4 linked regions of the Drosophila melanogaster genome follow. The main gene of each other region encodes a partner of the protein of the gene in region 4 in a complex. Each region holds a gene or a part of one and is shown on either strand. Other genes may lie near its edges.

What was found.
Region 1: MED23 (region 4) and MED24 share a complex: the UniProt entries of both Drosophila melanogaster proteins name them as parts of the mediator complex.
Region 2: MED23 (region 4) and MED19 share a complex: the UniProt entries of both Drosophila melanogaster proteins name them as parts of the mediator complex.
Region 3: MED23 (region 4) and MED26 share a complex: the UniProt entries of both Drosophila melanogaster proteins name them as parts of the mediator complex.

What each region holds. Positions count from the first base shown.
Region 1 is NT_037436.4:8,189,565-8,198,058, reverse strand, and holds MED24 (mediator complex subunit 24), read right to left. Parts: upstream 6,790-8,494; 5' UTR 6,671-6,789; coding exon 6,581-6,670; intron 6,538-6,580; exon of another isoform or gene 6,488-6,537; coding exon of another isoform or gene 5,733-6,487; intron 5,646-5,732; coding exon of another isoform or gene 5,051-5,645; exon of another isoform or gene 4,943-5,050; intron 4,870-4,942; coding exon 4,783-4,869; intron 4,725-4,782; coding exon 4,567-4,724; intron 4,498-4,566; coding exon 3,655-4,497; intron 3,588-3,654; coding exon 3,227-3,587; intron 3,170-3,226; coding exon 2,352-3,169; intron 2,213-2,351; exon of another isoform or gene 2,209-2,212; coding exon 1,584-2,208; 3' UTR 1,486-1,583; downstream 1-1,485. Other genes in the region: NEDD8-conjugating enzyme UbcE2M, read left to right, coding at 438-537, 616-917, 1,176-1,319; CG7387 (uncharacterized protein), read left to right, coding at 5,051-5,645, 5,733-6,487; Atg18a (Autophagy-related 18a), read right to left, coding at 7,791-8,008, 8,090-8,217. UniProt on the Drosophila melanogaster protein: Component of the Mediator complex, a coactivator involved in the regulated transcription of nearly all RNA polymerase II-dependent genes.
Region 2 is NT_037436.4:17,842,620-17,848,392, reverse strand, and holds MED19 (mediator complex subunit 19), read left to right. Parts: upstream 1-1,891; 5' UTR 1,892-2,201; coding exon 2,202-2,639; intron 2,640-3,498; coding exon 3,499-3,613; intron 3,614-3,678; coding exon 3,679-4,139; 3' UTR 4,140-4,668; downstream 4,669-5,773. Other genes in the region: CG7430 (uncharacterized protein), read right to left, coding at 1-255, 319-846, 1,155-1,196; CG5567 (uncharacterized protein), read left to right, coding at 4,977-5,118. UniProt on the Drosophila melanogaster protein: Component of the Mediator complex, a coactivator involved in the regulated transcription of nearly all RNA polymerase II-dependent genes.
Region 3 is NC_004353.4:785,210-790,942, reverse strand, and holds the start of MED26 (mediator complex subunit 26), read left to right. Parts: upstream 1-1,964; 5' UTR 1,965-2,048; intron 2,049-3,328; exon of another isoform or gene 3,329-3,491; intron 3,492-3,733; 5' UTR 3,734-3,796; coding exon 3,797-3,862; intron 3,863-3,916; coding exon 3,917-4,751; intron 4,752-5,733. UniProt on the Drosophila melanogaster protein: Component of the Mediator complex, a coactivator involved in the regulated transcription of nearly all RNA polymerase II-dependent genes.
Region 4 is NT_033778.4:22,886,553-22,895,493, forward strand, and holds MED23 (mediator complex subunit 23), read left to right. Parts: upstream 1-2,375; 5' UTR 2,376-2,461; coding exon 2,462-2,500; intron 2,501-2,562; coding exon 2,563-2,656; intron 2,657-2,710; coding exon 2,711-3,675; intron 3,676-3,733; coding exon 3,734-3,820; intron 3,821-3,875; coding exon 3,876-4,078; intron 4,079-4,130; coding exon 4,131-4,507; intron 4,508-4,567; coding exon 4,568-4,742; intron 4,743-4,798; coding exon 4,799-5,287; intron 5,288-5,345; coding exon 5,346-5,672; intron 5,673-5,731; coding exon 5,732-5,955; intron 5,956-6,013; coding exon 6,014-6,096; intron 6,097-6,152; coding exon 6,153-6,300; intron 6,301-6,369; coding exon 6,370-7,027; intron 7,028-7,088; coding exon 7,089-7,229; intron 7,230-7,287; coding exon 7,288-7,597; 3' UTR 7,598-7,873; downstream 7,874-8,941. Other genes in the region: asrij, read left to right, coding at 91-150, 207-696, 755-981; Gmer (GDP-4-keto-6-deoxy-D-mannose 3,5-epimerase/4-reductase), read right to left, coding at 1,074-1,241, 1,298-1,855, 1,914-2,028, 2,083-2,207; CG3700 (uncharacterized protein), read left to right, coding at 7,913-8,165, 8,231-8,444, 8,508-8,941. UniProt on the Drosophila melanogaster protein: Component of the Mediator complex, a coactivator involved in the regulated transcription of nearly all RNA polymerase II-dependent genes.

The sequences.
Region 1 (8,494 bases), on a different chromosome or scaffold from region 4:
ATATATTTAAAAAAAAAAATTATGACGATGATTTTCAAATATATTACGACACCGGTTGCATGTCGAAAATTTAGGTTTTAAAATTTTCTTCGTTTCGAAGTATCCAAACTTGGCTTGAATCCCGCTGAATCCGAAGTCCGCTTACCAGCACTACGCAACAACTATCGAGCAGACTGTTATCGGGTGCAACCATCGATTAATTACACATATCGCTGGGCAGAAACAAGGAAAGGATAGAAAGCACTCGAAGTGATTTTTTACATCAGTTCTATTGTTAACGGTAGGCCAAAGATTCAGTGAAACAATTGCCCTTAAACCACTGACATTTCAAACAATGCAACCTGTCCCTCAAGCAGCAAAAGCCCCCCAGAGAGCCAGAAACTTTCGAGCACAGCCAAACGCGGAAGACGAAACGCCAGCGAGACGAGGACGCCAAGATGATTAAACTATTCACGCTTAAGCAGCAGAAGAAAGACGGCGAGCAAAAGGGCAGTCAGCAGAAGAAAGCGTCCGCCGCCCAGCTGCGCATACAGAAAGGTAGTCTCCAATCCAGCACCTGGTATGATCAACTCTCGCTTATTACTTATCCATCTTGGGCTGTTTTCCTCCCCCCAGATATTAACGAACTGAACCTGCCAAACACTTGCGCCACAGACTTTCCCGATCCCAATGACTTGCTCAACTTCAAGCTTATCATCTCGCCCGACGAGGGCTTCTACAGAGACGGGCGCTTCGTGTTCAATTTCCGCGTCGGATCCAACTATCCGCACGAGCCGCCCAAGGTGAAGTGCGCCACCCAGGTGTACCATCCCAATATTGACCTGGATGGCAACGTCTGCCTCAACATTCTGCGCGAGGACTGGAATCCAGTGCTGAACATCAACTCCATCGTCTATGGCTTGCAGTTTCTATTCTTGGTTTGTATTTCGTGATTTGTGTTATTTTAGAGGCTATACGCTTTGTTCCATAAGTCTTGATCAACAGCCACAGTTTTCAAGTTACAATTGATTTTTTATGTCTTGTTTTGTGAACAATTGATTTCTAAGTGTGCTTAATTGAACGCCCACTGAAACAATTCAATATAAATGTTTGTTTATACCACTTAACGATCATTATTTCTATTTTTGTTATTACCCAAGCCAACAGTATTACTAATCCAAATTAACTGCTTCCAGGAACCCAATCCCGAGGATCCGCTCAACAAGGAGGCGGCCGACGTCCTGCAGACCAACCGCCGTCAGTTCGAGAACAATGTAAAGAAGGCGATGCGTGGTGGCTGTGTGGGCGAGACCTACTTCGAGTGCTGTCTGCTCAAGTGATATAGGGAATCGCAAGGTCTCTTACTTTAAGCCTGTCCATACACCTCCCCCTACACCCGCTAACTGAAGAAGATGAAGCAAAACACAGACGAACATCGGCGACAACAAATTATTGTAATAAACGAAAACAAAATCCACTGCGTGCAAAGAAGAAGCCGAGTCAAGTCACCAATTTCTAGTTTTTAATACAATTCATTTAGCAATTTCGCCCACCCGTCTCTTAATCATAATCGGCATACCCAATGTGGCAATCATCCAAATCCCTCACAGATGAATGCTGTGCCTGGCCATCTGCATATTTCGCCACAGGCAAAGATCAGACACAGCGGACAGTCTTCCTGCCTGGATTCGCAGATCGTATAGTCTGCTGATGAGACCCACTTTTATGTCGTCGGTGACCAAAACTTTCAGGAGCTGTTGCACCAGGCCGTTGGGCAGCAAGCGCAGGACGGGAGCGACCCTCTCACCACCGCATTCCACCAGCAGCGAAATGAACTGATAAACAAAAACGGCCTTGGGCGACAGTTCATCTCCACTGACAAACTGCAGGAACACTGCGAAAATGTGCTGCACGCTCGTCTGCAGTGGTTCTCTTAGAGTAAGCGGCGTAGTCCGCAGTTCAGATGTGGAAGTGGAGCCCAATAATGCTGCCAGGCCAGCTCCGGTCGTAGTGTCCGTAAAGTCGCTTGAGTTGTCGCTGCCATCGCCAATCACCTTGCGCACTTTGGCTGCATTGGCCGCCAGTTCCTCGTCATCGTGAGATCTCGATCGCTTCTTCATGGCCGTCAAAGCGGAAGTGCCATTTCCTTTGCGGCTCTCCAGGCAGGAAATAATACAGTAAACACAGAGGCGGGCCAGTACCAGGGATTGGGGCTCATTAATGTCCTCACTAGAAAAAAAAAAGATTGCCAAATTGTGAGTACGAGTTCTATCATAGCAGTTTCAATTTTTACATCCTTTCTTGCTAAATCGATTCGATTTGTAGATAATAAATAAATGAAATAATATACAGAAGAAAATATTGGTATTTACCCTTGTCGTCGCAGTATCAGTGGAGCCACCACGTACTGGAGCAACGCCTCAGTGGTCTTCTCAATGTCGAGATGCATTACGGCAAACACAACGTCCATGGTTCGCGACATATCCCTTGTGTACTTGCAGGCCAGCAGTTGCTCCACCAACTGCGTGGACAGCCACGCCGCGCCACCGGCTAGCAGAAGCGACTCCAACGACTGAGCGGCGCGAACGGGCAGGTGACCAGCATCGACTACTGTTCGCCACACCTCCCGAAACTGCTCGACTAGCGGGGAATGTGAAATGAGGCGGGACTTGGTACTTGGGGCAGGATGCACATCGTGTTGCATTTTTCTGATAATCTGATAGGAGAGAGCTAGTCGCTCCTTGGCATTTTCCTGGCTGGAAAGCTCTTCGCTGGTCAACGGAGCCAGGAACTGCTGAATCATGTTTAGTGGTTTCAGAAGTTCCGTTTCCTTCACCGAATACATGTAGGCGCATAGAAAACTAGTGGCGCAAACGGAAAAACTGAAAAGTCTTCTCTTAATATTGTCCAGAATACTTTTAACGTCCGCCGAGGATAGCGTTTCCTGCTCCCAAGCTATTAGCACATGATGAAGCACTCCGGGCAGATTAAGGCAAGTCTCCTGCCAACTTAAGTTGTTTGGCTTAAGTTGTGATGCCTCTGGTTTACTGAAGCTAAGCAAAAGCTCGTCGACAATACTGTCATCACAGAGGGCAAGAATTTGACGCGGATTCTTAAGCTTATTCCTTTCCACCATGCACTCACGCACCCATTTTTCAAAAAATGAGTCACCACGCTCAGATAAGACCACCTGAAGTAAAATAGAATTCATTAAAATTGCAGCGTAATAACAGGCGGGTTTACGAACATCGGATCCATAGGTCTGCACAATGCTTGTCAACATTAGGAAGGAAACATCAAACAGAGTGGACCGGATGACGCATAGCTTGCCCAGGTCGCCCGGCACCGGCTTGGAGTTCTCATTGCACTGGATCAGACGCGATACGAATGTCTTGAGGCGTCCCTCGACGGTAGCCACTGAAAGAATCAACTCGAAGCTGTTGCCCACCGGCACTTGGCAAAGGACATTAACCATGTCCTGGACCTTGTTGGTGCACAGCGTTTTTAGTACTCCGGAAAGCGGAACCTCTGCGCGCTTGATGAAGTTTATATTGGAGGGTGTCTGTTGGCCATTGTCGCATTTTTTGAGTAATTGAGAGGCGGCTTCCCTGAAAGAGTTCGTTTTAAATTATATAATTAAGATGGGTGTACAAAATGCATGATTTCTCGACTAACCTTTGACTGGCGAACTTCTTTACGTGGACATCATTGACTAGTTGTTGCTTGGTCCAGTCATTCAAAAGGAACTCGATCATATTGCATGAGCACTTAGTATCCATGAAGTCTAGCAGCAGATTGTCCTCGATGAGCAATTCCAAAGCCTCCACCAACTCGGGTATGTAATCGGCCGGTGGTGGTTGCTCCCCGGGAATCCGTTGCAGGGCGTGCAATTGCTTAATGATGTGCGGCATTTTAAAGAACATAAAGGCACCCCACATAGTGTCAGGACTTGTATCCGCAACATTGCTCAGCGTGAGGAATCCAGCACGGATGATTTCGTAGAAGAGCCGTGTATTGGAGTATTTCTTTAATCGTTGCAGCATCTGCAACTCAGCCACGTAGTAGCTGGTGTCCTTGCACGGATTGAGAAGCACTTCCACCGCCAGTAAGGGTTGCACGCAGCACGAGATCTTCTCGAGTGTTGACGGCGGATTAAGTGGTTGCATTTCAAGATGCTTGGCTTCTATAAAGGCCAACTGCTGCAATTGCTGCTCCACTTGTGGTGCATTTAGCGTAAAGTTTGAGTTCGTCAACGATCCCTTGATGGTAGCGTACTTATCCCGAATCCGTCCACATATTTCGAGCTCTTCGTGACAGCCCACGTACAGCATAGACAGCAGGAACTGCTGCTGGCTAAGCCGATCTATCACCACGCAGGTCTGGTCCAGCATGTATGATTGCTCAGCACTAATCTCACCATACAGTTCATAGTGCTGCACAGTTCTGGCGAAGATTTGAAGCAGCCAGTACACCAAGTGGACGACGGAACTCGGTAAAACCGCTTCCTCAGATTTTATTCTGGAAATAGAAATGAACAATTATTTTTACTCCTGCTTTTTAACGACTTATAAAACTAAAAGGACTTACCGGCAGGTAACGCCATCCACGATGCTGGCCAGGAATTCAAGGAGCGCTGTAATGCAATAAACGCGCTCTAATTTGTCATATTTGGCAATGCACCGAATAACAGCAGCGTGAGAAACGAGATGGGCGCACAGTGAATGCTTCAGGTAGTTAAGAACCAACTGAAAAGCATAGATTACAATTTAGAAAACAATCTAAATACTCAGATCAACTACTCACCGGATTAGCCGTGGAACCAATGAGTGCCTGCTGCATCAGACAGTCAGCCAGATTGTATACATCTCCACTGACTCCTCTCGGCAGCACCTGAAATAGTAATCAAGGGAAAGACAATAATGAAACATTTTCTTTTCCTGTCAAACTTTAACACAATATCTGGGTCACAACCCCATAAAATAAACAGAAACAGAACCACTTAAAAATCTAGTTAGGATTTCCACTTATATAGTTAGCACACATAGTTGCATATTTCGTTACGCGATAAAAAATGTTTCGTTTAAAATTATTTCGCAGTCCTGGAGACGTATTAAGCACTTTAATTAGCGGAGCTGCAACGGATTGCTGCAGGAAGACGTCACATTGTTTGGAGTTGGATCGCGCTCCCGCTGTCGCTGCCTGCTGGATCTGTATGCGGATGATCAGTCAATATCAGTTCAGGACCACGAAACCAGCCTACTATCCAGATCGCCAGCGGGAGGCGAAGCGAACGTCAGCGGGAGCCACGCCTCAACAGGTGTCATCTCCGGCTGTTAAGTACCCGCAAAGCCGAGGCATGCCCAAGGACTACTACTACAAAGTGTTAGGCGTCAACAGGCACGCCACCATCCAGCAAATCAGATCGGCTTTCTATGCGCTGGCCAAGCGCTATCATCCCGACTCGACGCACTCGGAACAAAAGCTGAAGCACTTCCAGGAGCTGTCCAACGCCTACAACATCCTAACCGACGAGACGAAGCGCTTGGAGTACGATCAGCTGGGCGGGATTAAGGATGAGCGCGCTTTTCTTGAACAGGCGGGCAATCCCCTAAATGTGGGCCTCGAGGAGGCCAAGAAGTTCGATTCGGATAAGACGACAAATGATGGTAAGCAGACGGATTTTAGATACATCAAACACCATTTCACTTTTCACTATATCACGATATGAACACGATCCTTGAATCGCCTTCTAGAGATCAACAAACTGAAGAGCAACGAGTTCGATCTGCCACTTGACTTCCTTGAGGCGACAGTGGGATGCAAGAAGCGGATAGAGCTGCGCTACTTGCGGAAATGCGAGACCTGCAAGGGCAAGTCACAATTGATGGCGCATCGGGATGTGGGCAAGGAACCCTGTCGGCGATGCAATGGAACTGGAAAGGTCATGACCAAAACGCCAACCTTCTCATCGGTGAACACATGCACGCAGTGCAAGGGCAAGCGATTCACAAATCGCAACGACTGCGAAACATGTTCGAATCGCGGCTTCGTGGTGTCCAATGTGGATGTGATGGTATCGGTGCCTTCCGGATCCCGGGACGGTGATGTGGTGAACATTATAAATCCGGAAACGAAGCAGCAGGTCACCTACCGCTTGTCGGTGCCGTCTAGCGACTATTTCCGACGCGTTGGCAATGACATTCTAACCGACAAGCACCTAAACATCTCGGAGGCCATTCTGGGCGGATCCTTTCAGATACGGGGTCTGTACGAAAGCGTGGAGCTGCGTGTGGAGCCGGGCACCCAATCCCACACCCAGGTGGTGCTCAATGGCAAGGGGGTGCGCTCCAGGGAGGGCGTGGGCAACCACATCGTCACGCTGAAGGTGCGTATACCCCGGAATCTCTCCGTAAAGCAACGCCAACTGGTTTTGGCACTGTCCCAGGCAGAGGATCCGGTTTTCGAGCCCAAGACTAAGAGCACGGAGGCGGGCAATTTGAGTCACTAAAATTCTCAATGTACCGGCCTCATTGCGTTTACAATATATTGGTAAACACGAACATTGATTGTTTGGTGTGTTGATTTGCTTGGGTTGCCTTGCCTTTTTTATGTTGATGCCCCACTGGGAGTCCGTCCAGCGCTCGCGCCACGCCACATAGATGAGTTGGAGGATCTTGTTGTTCTCCTTCATCTCTCGCGTCCGTGGAAGTAATATAACTTTTACTTTTCTCGTATTTCACGCAATTTATTTTATTTAAACCTAATATATTTTTTAGCAGCGCTCAGTGTGACCGAGGTATCTTTTATTAATCATACCAAAAGAGTACCATAATTTTCCCATCCTACAGTGTTGAAAAACACACAATCTTAAAATTTGTCGCCAATTTTAAATATTTTGAAAATTTTGTTTTTGCAACGAGGAATTTAGCCAAATAAAGGAAATAATATTAAAATATATTTTAAGACACCGAAAAGGCACCCACAAACAAATTTTAATTCAAATAATTTATTGAATACAATAAAGTAGCGTATGAGTTTCATTTGTAAACTGTTTTCATTTTAAACATTATGTTCTAAAATATTTGACTTTGTACAAAATATATTCTATTTATATATGCCGAAAATTGTTCCTCCATTGCACGCTCCGATTTTTTGAATTTCATTTCACTCATCGTGTCGCTAGCTGAATGTTAAATTTTAAATTGAATATATAATATATATATATAGGTGTGGTGTATGTGCTTAATCCGAGATATTTCGATATGATTAAACAATAGCTAGGCGAGAACTTTACATACAAATCGAGTTCGGTGGATTGTCAAGGGAAGATGCGCGAGGACTGGAAAAATAAAAAAATTAAAAACTAATTTGCAAAGGCCGTTTATTTTGTATAAAAAGCTGGCAACTCAAATATCAAAGCGAATCTGTAAATCCGTCTAAATTATTAATTAACAACTAACTTAGGAGTGTATGACAAAAGCATTTCACATTCCAATGGCAGCGCCAGGAACGGAGGCTTAAAACTAAAAAATGTTTTGGGTAGGGAGAGGCCGTACAAAGGAATATTGGCTGGTACAAAACGAGGAAGAATCATCGCTGACAACGTTAAGAGCTAAATTAAGTCTATGACCTATTTATTTACTTAAATACGCTTGACGCCACAGAGCCACCGTCGTTTATTCATCATCATTATCGCCGCCGCCAGTCGCCAAGCATCATTGTAATCACTTTAGCATCATCGTCCTTATTACTTTGAGGAGTGAGTTTCGTTTACCATCGCTGCATCTCTCATTTTTGATCATTGACCTTGTCTAAGCGGATGAGGGTCCCACGGGATCGTCACCCTTCACGGCCGACGCATAGGAGCTACTTGGTTTGTCGACACCACCGGTAACAGAAACAGCCGACTTGCCATCACCGCCACTTCCACCAGTGCCTGCTCCGGCTGCACTTGCACTGCTCGGCGGAACTCCAGCTGCTCCGCCAATGCTCACGCCACTGTTAAGGCCTAGAGTTTGAGGTGAATCAACTAGAGAATTTGTTTCGATTGTGGGTTTGGTTGGGATGTGTGTAAGTGTGAAGTGTGTGCGAGAAGCGAACAGTTAAGCACCTTTGATATCCATGGCATAGTGGTCCTCCAGCCGCAGGTCGTGCCTCTTTATTAGCTGGCACTCTGCGCCCTCGACGGTGGGAATGGAATACACGTACAAGTACCCATCCTGCGAGGCAATCAAAAGTCTACAAATACAACAGAATGAACCGTTATTTAGAACTTGAAATAGAGGCAGGGTAATCAGTTTGTAGTTCAATTTGCACGTGATTCAATTTTTGTTTTATAAACCTTTATGAAATGTACTAGGCTACTTTTGCAAAGAGCATATTAATTACATTTCAACAGAGTTCAGGGAAATTCAAACATATGAAGCCAGATAAAGTAGGTAGTGTAAATGATTTACGCGGAACAACTGCATTGGTATCTAGAACTCAGATTCCCTACCTGAGGTATTAAGCTCGC
Region 2 (5,773 bases), on a different chromosome or scaffold from region 4:
CGTCACCTTGGTGCCCAGCTTGAACTTAAGACCCTGCTTGGTGAGCACCTTTTGGAACGTCTTGGAGACTTCGTTATCGATGCCCACGCCGCCGATCGTATCCATGAACTCAATGGCAGTGACCTCAGCGCCCAGACGCGACCATACCGAACCCAGCTCCAGGCCAATGACACCGGCGCCGATGACAACCAGATGCTTGGGCACCTTGGCCAGCTTCAGGGCGCCAGTGCTGCTCACAATAACTTCCTCGTCGATCTGTGAAGGTTTTTGAATGGCATGCATTAGTAATCAAGCGCGCTGTAGAGGTTTTGCACTTACTTCAATGCCAGGGAAGGGGGTAACCTCCGAGCCGGTGGCGATGAGGATGTTCTTGGTCTTGACAGTCTCCGTGGAGCCGTCGGATTTCTTAACCTCCACCTCGTTGGGATTGACGATGGTGCCGAAGCCCGTCAGCTGTGTGACCTTGTTCTTCTTGAAAAGCATGGCAATGCCACCGGTCAAAGCCTTCACGGCGTTGGACTTTTGACCCATAAGCTTCTCCAGATCCAGGCTAACGCTGCCGCAGCTAATACCACGTTTCTCCAGATCACCGGAGTGGGCCATGTGGTAGTAGTGGGAGTTGTTCAGCAGCGCCTTTGAGGGAATGCAGCCAACATTCAGGCAGGTGCCGCCCAGAGTTGCCTCCTTCTCCACGCTGACCGTCTTCATGCCCATCTGGGCGGCCTTGATGGCGGCGACATAGCCACCGGGTCCGGAGCCAATCACCACGATGTCCGCCTCGTGGGTGCTGGAGTAGCAGCGGGCGTTGAGGGCACCCAGAATGGCGGCATTGGTGCGCAGAGGAGTCTGTAAAGACGGCAGATTACTACATGTTGTGGCACCTTATCATTTATCACGCCAGTCGCACGCATTTCGCACTAATCTTCGGCCGACTATCAGCTGATAATTGGCCTAATTAGCGACCTTGAAAACGGGGCCAAACAAATCCCCAAACGCCAGTGAATCACCCACCGGGATCATATGAGCACTGCAGGTGATCCAAGTGCATTTTCCAGCCTTTTCCTGCCCATTTCTCGACCCCCTCGGTGAGGTTAGATTGCATAACTTGAGGGGCGATGGCGTTTGGGGAATCGGTTATGTCGCCCGATCCTTACCTTGGCTACTGCCGAAACAACATGACGGAGCGTGAATTGCATGGCTGGTGCGGGCGAGTTATGAGGATAATCGTTATTTAACTACAAACACAACACTAGTTTGATGTGTGTTTTTCCGACTGTTTTTCGTGTTGTGGGGCTCGGAGCGGTCGCAGGGCTGGCGATGTGCATTCGATAGTGGTCATATGATGGCCGCGATGCTATCGATTGTTTTGGTGATTTTCCACTCTGTTGGAATTTGAAATTCTAAAACATTTTCGTATGAAAAAGATGTGTATAAAAATATTAGCTTGATGATCGTTCAAAATACGATATGTCCGTCACTCAATTGCTAGTTTATACAATATTCACTTTATGGGTCATTTGTTGTAGCAAAAGCTACCTAAAAACAAGCCAACTATACGTGTAAGCCGGCTTTTATAGTTTTGGCACCCATTAATTAATGTTTTTGTACGTATAAAATAAACTGTAATAAATAAACTGTAAAATAACTGTTTTAAAAATATATAACTCAACGTACATACGATACATATATAATAAGAGTTCCAAAGTAATATTAACTTTATTATATCTATAGGTAATTAAAAATGTATTATACGATGAATATTCGATAGTTTGCCCTACAGTACAACCCTGTGTGGTATTCCCCATCTGGGATATTTCCCACAACACTTTTGGTATTTTCACGTCGCGTTCATCTCGCGTTTTCGTTGAAGCCTCAGTATTTCGCTAGCTGTCGCAATGCGGTCACACTGGTTCGCGGACACAACAAGATGGCGAGACTTGCCCCCGAAATCTGTTAGAAAACGCCACAAGAGCAAATAATTAGTTCAGTTTTCGACCAGAAAAGAGTCAGCCGAAGTGCCGGGCAGACGCGGCGCATTTTGCAGAGTGTGAGCTTGGCCAGCGTTGCCCGAGAGCCGCGACAGGCGACACCTTCTGCTGGCCTTGCCTTGTTGCTGTGCCCCTGTGTGCGTGAGCGTGTGCGGTGCGGTGCGATTGTGTGCGTGGGTTGCCAAGAGTGAAGAGAATCGCTGAGTTTCCAAGATGATGAGCAACTACGGCAACATGATGGACTCACCGAAGTCATCGCCCCACGGCGGCGGCCGATCACCCGTGGTGGCCCGTCAAGACTCATCCGGCACCCTGAAAACGACCATTTCGCTGGGCAAGACGCCAACGATCATTCACACGGGGCCATTTTACTCCATGAAGGAACCACCCGCCAAGGCAGAACTTACCGGCGACAAGGATCTCATGACCGAGTACGGACTGCACCACACACTCACCAAGTTCAAGGAGAAGAAGTTCAAGGAGTCGCTGGCCTCGTTTCTGCAGAACATCCCCGGCATTAACGACCTCATCACGCATCCCGTGGAGAATAGCACGCTGCGGAGCGTGATCGAAAAGCCGCCCATTGGTGGAAAGGAGCTTCTTCCGCTGACTCCCGTGCAGCTGGCCGGATTCCGCTTGCATCCCGGACCGGTTGGTTTTTCCAATATGCTTTTAATTCGCTTGCTCAGTTTGAAAAATGACGAATCTTTAGATACGGCACATTGAACATCTTAGAATACATTTAGACGCTATTCAATGCTTTGCGTCTCTATACATTTGCATGCATTAATTTCGCTTTTTAAAATTTGCATATGAAATTTGGATTTAAGTGTCCTTGCACAGACTGATCTACTATAAAGTGTTATTTGGTCGCACCTTTTCTGTCACTTATTTCTATAATCACCGTAGTATTTTAGAGTTGTAATTCATTTTCCTTATGTTCAACAACAAATTTGAAACACAAATATTTTAGTCATTAATCACAAAAATTACTTAAATTAACAAGAGTGTAAATGTTGGTTTTCCCTTTAAACCTCTTTTGAACAGTGTATATTAAGTCAGTAGTTCGCAACGCAGTGATCTATATGAACAGCTGAGTCGATAAGGCCATGTCCGCCTGCCCGTTTTCTTTCAGTTTTAAATTTTTGTTGCAAGTAGTGCATAAATCAGAACGCGCCAGTTTAGGCCACTAATTCATATTGCTGCCATATGGTTTAATATTATGATATTCAAAAAAAAAAAAAAAACTAACCTTCCTTGTTGACGGATTGTCCTTCCTTTCTTGTTATTGAAATATTGGCATTTAATATTATTGAGAGTTTTCTTTCACCCTATATGCAATCTAATAATAATAATAATTCATCTTAAAAGGTTTCGTGAAATATTTTTTACATGTCATATATTTCAAACAATGGATAAATCGTTACTAGAACAAATTGCATAAAATATATTATTTTTTTCCTCTGCACTTTCACATTGCTAATTTATCCGATTCTGGTGCTCCTTTCAGCTGCCGGAACAGTATCGTACCACATATGTCACACCTGCGCGTAAACACAAAAACAAACACAAAAAGCAAAAACACAAAGACGGGGTGACCACGGGACAGGAATCCACGCTGCTCGGTAAGCAATCTGCTGAATTATCGAGCAACTCGATCACACATAATCCAATGATAACCATCTTGCAGACTCGGCCGGCCTGGAGACTTACGAGAAAAAGCACAAGAAGCAGAAACGCCATGAGGACGACAAGGAGCGCAAGAAGCGCAAAAAGGAGAAAAAGCGTAAAAAGAAAAACCAGAGCCCCGAACCGGGCGTGGGCTTGCTGCCCGGAGGAGCGAGCTTGGGCGGAGCAGCGGGTGTAATGGGAGCCACTAGTCTGGGATCGCTGGGAGGAGGACCTGGAGGACCCGGGCTGTCCAGCCTTAGTGCCAGTATGGGACCTGGCGTTGTGGGGAACATGAATAGCTTCTCCTCATCGATGCAGATGCAGCAGCAACAGCAGATGCCCATGCAGCAACAGCAGATGTCAAGTGGCGGTCTGCTGGGATCTGTGCTGGGCACTAGTGGCGGTCCAGGTGGCGGCGGCGGAGGAGGAGGTGGTGGCGGGGGCGGCGTCGGTGGGAGTCTGCTTATGTCGCAGTTTTAGGCAGGATCCTTTAGCAAAATAGACTTGGCTCATTACCTCTCATCAGCAGACGCACCCCAAATGGCAACATAAAAAAAACGCAGAGGGCCTCGGTCCTCTACATGCAATTTTCTCGATATCGTTTCGTGTCCTAGTTATTAATTTATGATTATTGTAAATGTAAAATAGTTTATTTCTGTAATTAGCCAACAATTTTTCGTTCGTTTTCGCGCTAGCTTAATGAGATTTATTTAAACGCAAGTTATGGTACAAAACGCAAGAACGTTTTCGCTCTCGATTCCAGCTCTTCCCTCCACACAAACACACCCCTCGCCACGCCGCCACAAAAACGCTGCTTTGCAACCTCTTTAATTTGCTTACCAACCTTGTAACGTGTGTAGGGTCAGTATTTCAATTAAATTTCTGCAATGGTTTGTTCTTCCAGCAAGTTTATAAACACAAAAGAAAGCTGAGATTCAACAAAATAAAAATGCCTGTACTATAAGTAATTAATTTTAGTGATTAGGCACATAAAACAATAAACAAGCATAAAAATGATCAAAGTGTGTGTTTACAATAGTTTGGGGAGCTTAGTTCATTTTTCGAATATAAGCATTTGTTGCACAGAAGTTCTGCTTCCAAGGAGCCCTTAAATTCAAATTTGGCGCCAAACACTTGTTAGCACTCTGTTGACTTTAACATGGCGCATTAACAGCTACGCTGAAATCTGACAGATAGTAACATAGCCTTAACAGGCGCCAACAGCTGCTTTAATTCTCAGGGAGTTTCTCGCAATCGAGAGTCAATTAATAAATTAAAAGTGATGTGTATAAGATAGTCGTCGCTGCAAAGCCATAGATGAGTTGTAACTTCGCCAGATTTTCGCGACAGGCAGCTATCAACATGTACAAGCAGTCGTGCACCAATCTCCTGGAATTATCCTCCGCCAAGGTGACCGAGTGGCTAGCAGGCTTCGACAGTGTAATAACCGACTGCGATGGTAAGTCGGTGGTGGGGATGAGATACTACTAACTCGCACCCACCCAGGATTCCCCCCAGGAAGTTGCGTTACATAAAGATATGTGTATACCACATTCTGCCCAAATACGTCAGCAGCCAATAGTTTCTGTATTGTGGCTGCGTCGTTTATTTCAATGTCAAAGAGTGAAGTGCGTGATATGGCGGGAAGTCGACTTTCGGATGCCCTCATATCTTGTTAATCATCGTTATATTTAGTAAAGAGTAAAGCAGTAAAGAGCCGTTTGATAAATTCCCTAATGCTCATAGTGATGAGCCCTAAGTTTATTAATATTAGACAATCTTATCAATTCAAGGAAATCGTTATTATATACGCAATATCAAAAGTTGTGTTCAACCCCATTATTTATTAATTTTATGCAATAATGCCTTCTTTAATCATAACAGCTTTTATTTCTTTTCGTTTATGTATCTTTGCGAAGTTACCAATTTACTTAATTGGAATTAATTTCAAACTGTCCTCTTTGCCTTTGAATGATTAATTTATCAATTTTAGAAATAAATTACCAACAATATGAGTATACTTTTTGTAGATATTGAGAAATCAATAACGCCCTTTATAAAACTAGCAATGGCATTAATAAAACTAACAACTACAAAGTGAGAACCTATTTAGC
Region 3 (5,733 bases), on a different chromosome or scaffold from region 4:
GACTAGTTGACTTTGATGTCATTCGAGAGGTTTACGAATTAGATCATGGATCAGTAACGAGAATGACTAAATTAACAAGGAGTCACGTTAATCCAACCAGATTTGAGCTAATGCGCGTATGTTTGGCAACTCAAACACTTAGCCACACTGTTGCAGCGGCAATTAAGACTTGTAACCAAAACAAGCAATTACATCGAAATAGTTCCGAAGTTGCAGCTTCTACGGCTGCATTTGTCCAAAAAGATAATGATTACTTTGATTGCCTGAATAGCAGAGTATTAACTGACAAAAACCCCATGAAATGCGCGCTCCAAGTTAACAATGGAGTTTGGAACAAACTAAAGGAAATGCAGGAATACCTAAAGAGCGTTAAATATCACGGGAATAAAATATATTGTGTTGATGGCTTGATCCAAACTACTGAAGCTATATTTGGACTCGTCGAAGATCTCTTTAAGGATCACACAGACCACTTTTTCTTTTTAACTAGTAGAGTTAACCAGGATCCCCTTGAAAATATATTTGCGTGCGTTCGAGCAAAAGGTGGTAACTGCAGAAATCCTTCAGTTAACGAATTTAATATAATAATTGCCAAGCTCATATCTCTACACATTTTTAAATTTTCACAAAAGTCGAATTGCGAATCAGATGATGATGTTATGTTGCCAATAGAGTTCGATTCGATAATATATCAGCCTTTCGTTGAAAAAAAAGAAATACAGCAACAAGAATACTCTGTATCATTTTCCAAAATCGTGCAAGACAATGAGAGGTACTTTGACCAAAATATAGATAACTTTTTGTGCAATGATGTACCCATTGAATTAACTTCCAGTAGATATTTTGTTGGATATATTGCTAAGGGATCCAGTTGCGATAAATGCAGATCGGTAATTTTAAAAGAAACCGAGCATTTAACAGCTCCATCAGAGCTTTTTATACATGAGAAAAACTACTCAATAGAATCGGACTTCGGGAAATTAAGGGCACCATCTGATTTATTTTTTAATATTTACAAAATACACATTAAAGCTTTCGAAAATATTTTTAAAAATAATAAAAAACAAATGTGTATAAAAAAATTTATTGTTGAGCAATGCATTAAGTGCACAAATGAAAGTAGTGCCTTCCCATTATGGTTTTATGAAAATAATGAATGTTATGCACATAGAACAGATCTTTTAAACAAACTTATAAAAGTTTTGCTTTTTAAGCATTGTAAGTGGACTGTGATAGCTGATAGACAAAAAAAGCAAGCTAAGCTCAGCATTCTATCTCATGAATAAAAAAAATGAGCGTTATTTAAATAACTGACGACTGAAAAATCGAGCAATATATAATAAAAAACAATAGTTAGAAAAATAACTTAATTGGGGAATATGGAAATGTTTTAATGTTAAACATTAAAATATTTCAAGTCGACTCGAAGGTCATATACGTAAATATAAGACCCCATTACAATTGTAATGGCCTCCCCGTAGTGTTCCCTGGGTACCGACTATTACACATATTACACATAAATAATTATCAACATAAATATAAATATGTAAACGGTAGCTAATTCGAGCGGCGATTTTAACAAACGAATTTAAAAAGCTTTAAAATTAAAAAATTTTAAAATTAAAATTAAAATTTTAAAATTATAATAAGAAGGGCGCGAATTTTTAAAAATTATTTTATTTCATCATATTGCTACGAAATTGGCAAAAAACTACCCTAATATGTACAATGTAAATTCATTTCTTTGATCAGAATTGATTTCGGCCCGAAAATCGTCTTCTAGCACAACACCCACACATATACGCGTTCCCGTCTCTTGTTTTTACTCACACAAGCAAGCAAATTCTATTTTTAGATTTCTTATGTTCTCAGCGTGAGCGAGCGGAAAGAGAGCAATTTTGGCCGTCACCAAAAAAGTGGCTGCATAGTGCCAAACCAATGTATGGCCGTTACGCATCTTGTTATTCTAGTGTCTTTGGTATGGCCGTTACGCATCTTGTTATTTATATGGCTTTGAATAGACCATGTGCAGTGTGATTAATGTGGGGGTATGTATTAAAAACGACATATAATATAAGTATATTTATGTATGTGCAAAAGGAATATATCAGGATATTTCGGTAAGAGCGACAAACCAGCCAAGTGTGAATTTATGAAGTTGATGCATCTATATTTTTGCAAATCTCAAGTTTATATGCAGAAGAGTCACTGTCGTTATATTTGAATTTTGCTCACTAGCGGAGATGATTAAATTTTTTATTATTGTACTGAAATACAAAAATGTTTTTTAAACTTAATTAGCATTTTAAGTAATAATAGTTTTTCTCCGGTATTCTAACGTTACCAGTGTGAACGGATCGGACAAGCATTCTTCCTAATTTAGTACTACTAACCGTTTATATTCCAATTACACTATATATATGGACACAGTCAGTTTTGGTTTTTGTCAAACACGGAAACACAGTATAAGCATGGGGTAGCTCAGTTCTTAGACGGGAAGGTCAATAAAATCTCTTCTGCTCGAGGTTCAGAATAAGAATAATATTATAGAACATATTAAAAAAAAAGCCGCTGTGGTAAAATGTGAATATAAAAAATTAAACATATTCTTTTTCTGTTGCTTATTAAATGTAAAATATATTCTTATATACAAAAGGCTTCCAAAGGTTTTGCAATAAGAAAAAAATATATACTCGATTTTGGTGCTGAAGGATAGTACTATAGTTTACTTTTTTTCAATTGTGAGATGATCCCTTAACCCAAGTTATGGGGTTTGGTAATTGTAAGCCATTTGTTTGTTTTTTGTTTTTGAAGAACACCGAGAGCATTTGTTTTGTACAAATCCTATATATACACACTTTTTTCAAATATTTCGCATTGAAATGAAAGAGTTTAAGAATCTTTATATATCCTTAACAAAAAAAAAACGGCATTGCTAGTCCGAATAAAATAAGTTAAGGGTAAAAAAACAAACAATATTTTAATATTCTCCATATTAAGTAAAGCGGGTAACTGGACGGAGAATCTACGAAATCGTTTTATATTTTACAAAATATATAGGACAACGGGAAAATATCCAAACCACAAAGCAACAAAACCTTCATTTTCTGGTCTGGTATATTTGACCCTTTTTTCATTTTGAGATTCACGCATTTAGCCCAAAAATGGACGTTTACTTTATATAATACTCCTATAGGTTTTCATGTCACATATAATACAATTCCTCTTCAATTCTGTTTGATAGCAGTATGATCAGGCCTTCCTGTTAAAAGAAATTCACGTGAAAGTATATCGATAATAATTGTTAAATACTTATCGATTTTCTGCCACCCTTGAAGTGCAGCTGTCATTGGTAAAAATGGCGAATTGTAATAAAGTCGGGAAGTCAACCATAAATTATTAATTTTCCTTATTTTGGACAAATACAAATTTTCATATTCAAGGAAGTGCGCTCAGGAAGCACAGACTTTACATTCGAAGTGTGCATATTTGTAAGCATAACGATTGAGCAATACACGTTTTGTATTGGTATGAGTGTTTCACAGACACGCTACTAACTCGGGTATTAAAATTTTTGAACTTCTGGGTCTTTAAACTTTACTTAATAGCAATTTTACGGCTATTTATAATAGTATTTATTTTGCAACAACGTGAAGTGAATACACTATAACTTTTTACTTTCTACCTACTACTTACTTTTCTATTACTTTCCTTATTTTTCTAACTTGGACAGTATTTGCATTTCGCCGTCCCTTGAATCTGGATCAGGGCAATATTTACGCACCGCAAGATATAAATGAACCAAATCGAAATACAGGAACTTACTACTCACCTATCCCAGGCACTTGATCAAAACTACGATGTAAGAAAACGTATTACCTTATCAACAAATCAGTTAATGTAAAGATCTTTTCAGGTCGTCAATATGGACGCAGTTCTCTGTGTCATATGTGCATTGGAGGGTACAACTATCACCAAGGAGCAGTTGGAGGCCACCAGATTGGCTAAGTACATAAATCAGCTCAGAAGAAGGACTAAGAATGAACATTTGGCTCGACGTGCAAAATCCTTGCTGAAAAAGTGGCGGGAAATGGTAGGAATTCAGCAAACAGCCACTGAAAATTTGGCACATCCCAGTCAAATTTCATCTTCACAACCAGCATTAGATTTGGTTAAGTCCCCTATCACCAGCTTTATTACAGAACCAATTGCTCCTTCGCAGCAAATAGTTTCAGATTTGCATTCAAATATCGACTCTGCGGAGCCTCCGCTTTCGGGTGAACATACCCTACTTCATCCGAACTTCTCCAACCTTGTAAATAGTATAAAAGATAGCGATCGCCACGAAAACATCGCTATAACGACATTGCATACTCACAAGGATCGGCGACATTCGCATTCCATCCGAAGTTGCCACGTGGCCTCTCCTCAGCCCATCGTCATAGATCATTCGGTAAATTCCGTGATTAACTTGACCGATGACAGCACCGTGAAGATAAACGAAGCTTCAGTTGTTATTGACATAGCTTCGGATTCCGATGAGAATGACAATAACGGTTCGTTAAATCCAAAAAAATTAAACTCAATTGTTCCTGCGCCACTTCCAATACCATCTACACCAAGCTCACGGCAACGCAAATTAAAAAAGGAAAAAAGAAGTAAGGAAAGAGAAGGACAGGTCGCAACAAATACAAGATTTGGTGCAAAAGCCAGCGACGGGTTTCAACAGGCCGCTCTGACAACAGATTCGGGTATGATTCAATTGTATTTGTCTTTGTGTCTATCCTTGCAGAAGCTCAAAGAAGCTGGGTTCGGAAAAATGGAATTTTCGAAATTTGAAAGCTGGAATCGTGTGCCCACCAATTAGTTTTTTTTTGTCCACGTCCAGTCTTTGAGATCTGAATTTTCAAAAAAGTTCGATAATCAAAAAGTGTACTTTTTCAAAAATTTTATATTTTAAATTGCAATAACATCGTTTGCCAACACTTTTGAATTTTGAAAAAACGTATACTTTAGAAAATATAAGACATTCAAGTTAATCTCGGTCTATTCAGAGAATAGAGCGTTTGACCATCTCTTAAAACTAAATATTATCAATAAAAAACGTTTGCCCAACCATTATTATTAGTTTTTATCGTTTTCCCACCCTTAAGAAAACCTTTGACAAATTTTTTTTTTCGATTGCCCGCACTTAAAAAACCAATAACTTAAATAACCAATTTCTTTAGCCCACCTCTTTAAAATGAATATTTTCAGCTTCCAGCTTTTTTGAGCTCAGTGCAGAGGGTGTTTATAACGCAATTGGATTTTCTCATCTCCAACGCTTCTCTAACGCCCACAAATTGCCACACTTTTCAAAAATGTTTTGTATTTTCTTTGTTTCATTTTTTGTCTTCCCAATGTCTATTGCTATACAGAAAACACTTGCTTACGCACCTACAAACTCACCAAAACAGTTACTCATGTTTGTATGTATGCTGCGGTTAAAATAATAGCACTACTGCAGGTGGAAAGTTGATTTCCTAAAAAAAAATATTGAATGTTTATTTTTTTAAAGTCAGATTGCATGAATAATAAGGACTATATGTTTTTGTCTGTCTAATCAAGAAATTTTTACTCTCTCCATGAGAGAGGCAAGTGCCTTTTGTTTTTGGGCACTTGCTGCAAAAGCGCGCGAAATGAGGCGGTAACAAAAATAGCACTGACCAAGTATTTGCTGAATAAAATGAATGG
Region 4 (8,941 bases):
CGTTTCGCCGGCGACCAGGGTTGGCAAATCGGCTGCGCCGGTAGTTGGTCCGTTATACATTTCACAAATTCCACATTAAATTGTATCAGCATGGACTCCCCGCTGAACGATGGCTCTCACCATCCACCGCCGCACGCTCCCCACCCCCTGGTGAGTGCTCTACGGTCCTTAAACTGCCACTACCCAAACGTTTGCATCTATTTCAGGCGGACTATCAGTTTTCTGCGGAGGAGGTGAAGGCGTTACGTGAGTGCAACACTGAGTCTTTCTTCCAGCGCAGCCTGCCTTTCGGCACTGGACTGGGCCTGCTGGCCTACTTCGGCGTCAAGAACGGCTATTTGCAGGGACACGTCAAGTACGGCGCCGTGCCCAAGGTCGTGATGGGCGTCATTCTGGGCTACTTTGTGGGCAAGTTCAGTTACCAGCAGAAGTGTGCCGAGAAGATCATGCGCCTACCCAACTCCCATCTGGGCGAGCTGCTGCGTCAGCGTAGACAGGGCGGCGGTGTCATCAGCTCCATCACACCGGACGAGAATCTGGGCAGGGCCTTCACTCTGGCCCCCTTCTCGCCGAGCTCGGCGGACGTGTACAGCGATGAGGCGTATCAGCCCGGGAGGAGCACTTCTCTCAATCTGGACACGGAATCGCGCCCTACTTTGTCCGGCCTTGACGACATCTACCGCCCCACCCTGGACTGTAAGCTCATCTAATTCTTCGCATTCCCTATTATGATTCTGTACATTCTCCTTCCCAGCAGCTGGTTCAATGCTGGAGGCAGAGTTGCCCTTGGAGCCGTCTAAGCCGGGCCAGTCTTACGAGGACCTGCGACGAAGGAACCGAGAAGAGTATTCGAAGCACCAGCAGAGTCCATACTCGCGACCTTACGAACCACCAGTTGCCGTTCAACAGCGACCCGTGGAGCAGGCACAAAGTGAACCCGCTGGAAGGAAGAACCAATACGGCGACTCCTGGACTGATTAAGGTATTGTTATTTTGTTGGACATTAAACGCGCATAAAGTTCTGTGAAAATTCGTTGTCTATTTACATTTTTTTTTGGGGTTGGAATATTCAATTACTTTCTAGCCTGGTCGTAGTTTTCTATGTACCACTTAACCGAGGCGTTGATTGCCGTTTCCAAGTCCGTAAATGCGTAGTCTGGCAGGAAGGAGCGAAGCTTGGCATTAGACGCAGTCTTTTTGTACTGTCCATCCGACTTGCTCGTATCACAGACCAGTCTTCCCTGGAATAAATCAAGTTAATATCTTGCCTTGTCTCAAATTTCGCTTTTTAACCCACATTAAAATTAAATGCTTTTGCAACGGCTTGGGCCACCTCGAAGATCGTCACCTCCTGCACTTCGTCCGCGCTTAGGATGATGGGCTCCACACTTTCGTAGTTCCTGAGCACCCAGATCATCAGCTCCGCCAGGTCCCGGGAGTATACAAACTGCCGTAGTGGCATGCCGCTTCCGAAAACGGTGAACACCTTGTCGTTTTCGGGGACGTCAGTCTTCTCCGTAACCAGCTGGTGCATCCTATAGATCATGCCCGGAATAACGTGGCTGACCTCTGGATTATAGTTGTCGTGGGGACCGAATATGTTGCACGGAATGACCGAGGTGTACACCCGGCCATATTTATCGTGGTAGGCGTGGTTCTGCACGTCTATCAGTCGCTTTGCGTAGGAGTAACCATAATTGGAGGGGTGCGGCGGCCCATTGTGCACCATGGTCTCATCTATGGGGTAGCTGGTTTTGTCCGGAAAAATGCATGTGGACAGGCAGGACACCACCTTCACGCATCCCTGCTCGTGTGCCGTTTGCAGGACATTGTCGTTAATGAGCAGGTTGTTGCGCTAAAAGTGGATTCGCATGAAATGGGTTTTGGAATCATCTGTGAGACCAGGAGCTCACCAAGAAGTCCAGGTTGTTGTTCATGTTGTGGAACAGGCCTCCGACCATTGCAGCCAGATGGATGACATGCGTGGGCTTCTCTCGGGCGAAGAGTGCCTGCGTGGCGGCCAGATTTCTGTGGAGAGAATTTGTTTACGGATACGTTCAATTGAATTTCTTCATGACTTACGTCAAATCTGCATCTTTAGAGCCCGCAAAAAACCATTGCTCGTCCTCTGGGGACTGCTCCTTGATCACAGCCTCCAGGGCCTTGCCCACCAGCCCAGTTCCGCCTGTAACCAGAACTTTCTTCATGATTTTTGTGCGATTCCACAAATCAAGTCAATTAGTTTCTAAAGTAATTTTCGACTCAATGCGACCAGCTGCTTTAAATGCCGGCTAATCAGTCAGTGCTGCCTGCCTGGCGTTTTTAATCTAATCCTTTAGCTATTTCTTGTTATCAGAAAAAGCCACTTTTAGATTCTTTACTAAGCCCCATTTGGTCACACTGTGCCCAGGTAGTTTTTGTTTATGCGGTGTCGGATATGCGAAAAATAATTTAAATGGATATGGAAACGCAAGTTATAGACACCGTTAACGAGTTTCTGGTAATAGTGAAACCCTGCGTCTCCAAAAAATCACCCACTCATCCACGCTCTCCATTTCGCAGAAGGTCGACTCCCTTGACGAGGCGTTCGTTAGCGTCATTGTATTCAAGCCAAACACCGAGCAAGAACGAGCTACCCGCTTCGCCAATGATTTGGGTAGGTAAATGCGTCTGCTGGAACTCGAAAATTGTTAAAAACTATCTGTTTCAGTTACCGCCTTTGGGAACGTGGCGCAGGAGAACCGGGAGCAGGTGCTTCGGCTCTACCTGTTGCGTGCCGCCGGTGCCTCCGGATATCACATCAAAGTGCTGATGGCGGCACTGGTGAAGCTGGTGGACGCACACGTGATCACCGCCAGGATGCTGTGCGACAAGGTGCTGATGTGCGAGAAACTGGACTTCGAGCACAGGACCTTCTGGATCGAGAGCTTCCGGCTGATCAAGCGTGTGATCGTCCAGGTGGACTACAAGGGTGTGCGCGAGATCATGAAGGTATGCCGCGACAAGGCACAATGGTTTCCGCTGAACGTCAACGTTACCTACATGCCACAGCTACTGGCCGTTGAGGATATCCTGCGATTCATCTTTGATCGCAACAATTGCCTGCTGCCCGCCTACTTTATTGCCAACGAGATTATGCGTCCGTTTCCTTACCACTGGAAACTCAACCGGCTGATGACCGACTTTGTCGAAGAGTTCCGCACCACGGCACAAATGGTTTCGATCATTGGACATGCCAGCATGCTTCCCATCGTAGAGCATTTCGGCTATGCCGATCACATGATGAACTCCTGGCGACTGGACCACAATACCCTGAAGTTTAACTTTAAGGGTAGCCTGCCCTACGAGCCAGAGCTGCTCGAAGAGCAGAAGCCCCTACTCCGCTACGTTTTGGAGCAGCCGTACTCAAGGGAAATGGTCTCTCAAATGCTGAACCTGCAAAAGCATCAGAAGCAGCGCTACAATGCCCTGGAAGAGCAGTTGGTTAATCTCATAGTGCAGGCCATGGAGATGACGGAGGCGAATGATGCCACTGCGGGAAGTGGCTTTAACTCCTCAGACGAGCAGATCACGCCCTACGAGTGGATGTGGCTGCATCTCTCTTCGCAACTAATTTACTTTGTGCTCTTTCAGTTCGTAAGCTTTATGCACATAGTGTTGGCGCTCCACGAAAAGGTAGGTCCATGGTGGATGAAATTAATATTTCTTGTAATTAACTACTTTTCACCTATAGCTTTCCAAGTTGGAGCTTCGCAAGGGTCGCGATCAACTTATGTGGATTCTGTTGCAGTTTATATCCGGAAGCATACAGAAAAATCCTGTAAGATCCTGTTCTCCACCTGATTGATCTTATTTTTAATCGCTTTTAATTTTAGATCACCAATTTCCTGCCTGTGTTCAGATTGTTTGACCTACTATATCCCGAGCTAGAGCCTCTTAAGCTGCCAGATATCAATAAATCCTCGATGGTTCGCCATATGGCACCCATTTGCGTTTGGATTCACCTGATGAAGAAGGCACGAGTGGAAAACATGAACATCACCAGACCATTGCCAATTGCACTGAAAAACCACTACGAGTAATACCTCTAACTTCCTTTGGTGTTTAGATACTAACTGCTTAATTCCCAGCTTTCTGCAGCACCTAGTCACGGCTAACACCATGATGAACATGACGCTAGGAAACGACTTCCGCATAATTCTCATCTGCAATGCATACTCAACGAATCAGGAGTACTTCGGGCGTCCCATGGGTCTACTGCTGGATGCCCTAAATGGCACTTCAAAATCTCCAAACGGTGGCCAAATCCCAGCCGTAACTTTTTCGGTCACGGTTCTGGACAGCTTGACGGTGCACAGTAAGATGTCGTTAATCCACAGCTTCGTAACTCAGATGTTAAAACAGGCCCAAAGCAAGGGTCAAGTTCCAGCGGCTGCACTACTGGAAACTTATGCCAGACTTCTGGTTTATACAGAAATCGAGTCGCTCGGTATAAAGGGATTCCTGAGTAAGTACAGCCTGTTGAAGTGATTAAACAATATGTTTATGGTTTTTTTTCCTCCTAAAGGCCAACTGATGCCAACAGTGTTTAAGAACCATGCGTGGGCCATGCTGCACACCTTAATGGAGATGTTTTCGTACCGGCTGCACCATGTTCCTACTCACTACCGGGTCCAATTGCTGTCTCTCCTTCATTCTCTGTCCTCCGTGCCGCAGACAAACAAGATGCAGCTCAATCTCTGGTTAGTTATACGTTTATCGAGTATAGACTTCTTTCTAAGTTCTTCCCTTTGTATAGTTTTGAATCTACTGCACTGCGTCTGATCACCAGCATTGGATCCGCCGAGTTTCAGCCGCAGTTTTCGCGTTACTTTAACGACAAATCTCCCGGAGCAGTGGCGTCTAATGAGAGCGAAGAGCTAAACAGAGTACTTATTCTTACGCTAGCTCGATCCATGCACGTACATGGTGGCGGCGATGAAATGCAGGGATGGTGCAAGGACTTCCTTTCCAACATCATTCAGCACACGCCGCACTCGTGGCCCATGCATTCCCTAGCCTGCTTTCCGCCCGCCTTAAACGAGTACTTTACGCAGAACAACCAACCTCCGGAGAACAAGCAGCAGTTGAAGAAGGCCGTGGAAGAGGAATATCGAACCTGGACGTCGATGACCAACGAGAATGACATAATTGCGCACTTCTTGCGTCCAACTACGAATCCTTTATTCCTTTGCCTTCTGTTCAAAATAATTTGGGAGACGGAGAACATAAGCCCAGTGGCTTACAAGTGCGTAACATTATGATTTAAACACAATCATTTTTTCTGACCATACCTTTTTTTTTAGAATTTTGGAGGGTATAAGCGCGAGAGCCTTGTCCACTCATCTGCGTAAATTTTGTGACTACTTGGTGGCTGAGGTAGCTAGCTCATCGGATGGCCGCGACTTTATTCACAAGTGCGTCGACACCATTAACAACATGATTTGGAAGTTCAACGTTGTGACCATCGATAGGGTTGTGCTTTGCCTGGCTCTGCGAACGCACGAGGGTAACGAGGCTCAAGTCTGCTTTCTCATAATTCAGCTGCTCTTGCTGAAAGCCAGCGAGCTGAGAAATCGTGTTCAGGAGTTCTGCAAGGACAATAATCCTGATCACTGGAAGCAGAGCAACTGGTAAGTTGGACACTTGATTTTGTTAAGAGCACAAAGGCATAGTTGTTATTATTTCTCAGGCAGGACAAACACTTGTCATTCCATCAAAAGTATCCAGAGAAGTTCGCGTTGGACGAGTCAGCTTCACAGATTCCGCTGCCCGTGTACTTCAGCAATGTCTGTCTGCGATTCCTTCCCGTTCTGGATGTGGTAGTGCACAGATTTATCGAACTTACCATTACAAATGTCCACCAGATATTGGGCTTCATTTTGGATCATCTGAGCATACTCTACAAGTTTCACGGTATGTTAAAAGTGGCTTTCGAGAATTTCATAACTTTAAATTACCCTTTAAATTGCAGATCGACCTATAACATATCTGTACAACACCCTCCATTATTATGAGCGAATCTTACGAGACCGCCCTGCGCTAAAGAAGAAACTTGTAAGATTTGTTATGAATATTATATTCCCTTCTTCTAATACACTGTGTTGTTCCAGGTTGGCGCTATCACCAGCGCCTTTAGCGAGATTCGGCCGCCCAACTGGAGTGTTAGTGAGCCGTACAAGGTGTATTTGCAAAGCCAAGACTCGCTGTGGACCCCCGAATTGAGCTACTATATGAGTTTGATCAGGAGACTTGCAGACAGTAAGCTAGGATTTGGGAAAATACTATGATGTGTTCATATATTCATGCGTAACCCCTTTTATTTTGCAGCAATTAGTGGGAAGAATGTATTTTACTCCACCGATTGGCGTTTTAACGAGTTCCCGAATGCGCCAACCCATGCGCTCTATGTGACATGCGTGGAGCTGCTGGGTCTGCCGGTGGCACCGCCACTGGTGGCCAGCAATCTCATCGATGTTATAGTAAGCGGATATGCGGTTATTCCGCAAAAGGACATTCACAGCTACATTAATGCTGTGGGCATTGTTCTGGCTGCCTTGCCTGAGCCCTACTGGAGCGGCATATACGATCGCCTACAGGATATGCTCAACACACCCAATATGCTGAACTGGACCTACAGATTCAATGCTTTCGAGTTGTTTAACTTCAAGACAGTGCGTGAGGCGATGCTAGAAAAGACCTACGCCGTGGTGTTGGCAGTAGCTCACTCAGTGTTCCATCACATGGGCGCCTTTAAGCTGGCGGCAATGACCAGGTACCTCAAGGAGAAGCTAAAGCCGTGCGTGCGAACCGAACAACAATTGCTGTATTTGTGCCACGTTTTTGGCCCCTTCCTGCAACGAATAGAGTTGGAAAAACCGAACGCTGTGGCTGGCATAGCCGTGTTGCTTTACGAAATTCTTGAGATCGTGGACAAGCATCATGGTCCGAAGCCTCTGCAGTACATGGACCAGATCTGCGATTTCCTGTAAGCAAATCCACAAAATCGCATGAAAGGGTACTAAACAAATGTGTTTGTATCATTTCAGCTATCACATTAAGTATATACATGTGGGTAATATCATTAAGAACGAATCGGAAGCCATCATTAAGCGGCTACGGCCCCTGCTGCAAATGCGCCTGAGGTTCATAACCCACCTTAACTTGGAGGATATTCACACTGAAAAGATGTAAGGGCCATTTAATTCAAACTCTACTTCGGTTTAAACATAACTTTTCCAATTTCAGCAACGACAATACCAGCAATAATGCAATAACCAGCCAAACGCAGTCTCCAATGCAAACACAGCATCAGCAGCAGCCGCAGCAACCACATCAGCAACAACAGCAGCAACAACAACAGCAACAGCAGCAGCAGCAGCAGCAACAGCAGCAACAACAGATGCAGCAGCAACAAATCAACGCAGTACAAACAACCAGCGTTCCCTTGGGCAGCGGTGGCAACCTACAGCAGCAGCAGCAAATCAACCAGCAGCAACAAATGTATATGCAGCACATGCAGCAGCATCAGCACATGCAAAACATGCGCCACAATTAGACTTTGTGGGACTCCCAAGTCAGTTCAAGCTGACATAACGACATAAGCCTAATTTATAGTAGTATTATCTTATATTTTATCGCTTATTGCATTATTCATTTTCCATTGAATGTGTAAACAGTTCTCAGATATGTTTAAGTTAGATACTAAGGGAACTTTTTGTAAGTCACAGCTGTCGGCCCAAGTCCTCCCTCCAGCTTTACAATCAAAAGCTTGACTTAATAAGCCCAGCTTAAAGCTCTTCGTAGATAACCTGTAGTTGGTGATCTTGTCCACCTCGAGCGCCGTTCTCAGTTGTGATCGCAGAGCACTGCGATGTATGCGCTTCCGGGAATCCAGATTCTGTTGCTGATTGCTTCAGTCAGCGTGGTGACCGAGTACTGCGACAATGGAACGGGCGAGTGCAAGGAGCTGACGCCCTCCGACTGTCCAGTGATATTCTACAACCAGCACCTGATCGGAGCCGAAGTCAAGTACTGCGACGAGTTCAACGACATTGTCTGCTGTCCCATACCGCTGGATCACCAGAATCTGAAGCCAGCCGAACAGACGAGGCCTTTTGAGAAGCGTGAGGAGTGACTGCAACAATTCCCTTCGATTGATGGAATTTGAATATTCGTTTTTTTTTTTTAGAGTGCAAGCAATACAACGAGGTCAGATCCGCCTGCCAGTCCACGCCCTTCATCGTGGGCGGCACAAAGGCATCCGGTAAAGAGTTTCCCTTCATGGCCCTAATCGGCACTCATCGGCCCAACAAGTCCAAGTCGGACATCAATTGGGATTGTGGTGGATCCGTGGTGCATCCCAAATTCGTACTGACTGCGGCGCATTGCCTGGAGACGGATGAGTAAGTATTCTCTGGGATTCTCTTGAGTGATACTCCTTCCATATGTGTACTTTTAATTGTCAGATCGAAGGCCGAGCGACTGGACCCAAACTTTGATTCGCCCAAATTTGTAGTTCGCCTGGGGGAGCTGGACTACAACAGCACCACCGATGATGCTCTGGTTCAGGACTTTCGGGTGGTCAACTATGTGGTGCACCCTGGATATGATACTGAAGACGAAGAGCAGGGCTTTAAAAACGATATTGCCCTGGTGGAACTGGATCGGAAGGCTGAGTTCAACGACCATGTGGCAGCGGTATGCCTTCCGCCAGACAGCGGCAACGATGTTCAGCAGGTCACAGCCGCCGGCTGGGGATTTACCGCGGACGGTGTGAAGTCCTCGCACCTGCTGAAGGTCAACCTCCAGCGATTCAGTGACGAGGTGTGCCAGAAGCGCCTGCGTTTCAGCATCGATACACGCACCCAGTTCTGTGCCGGCTCAATGTCCAGCCAAGCGG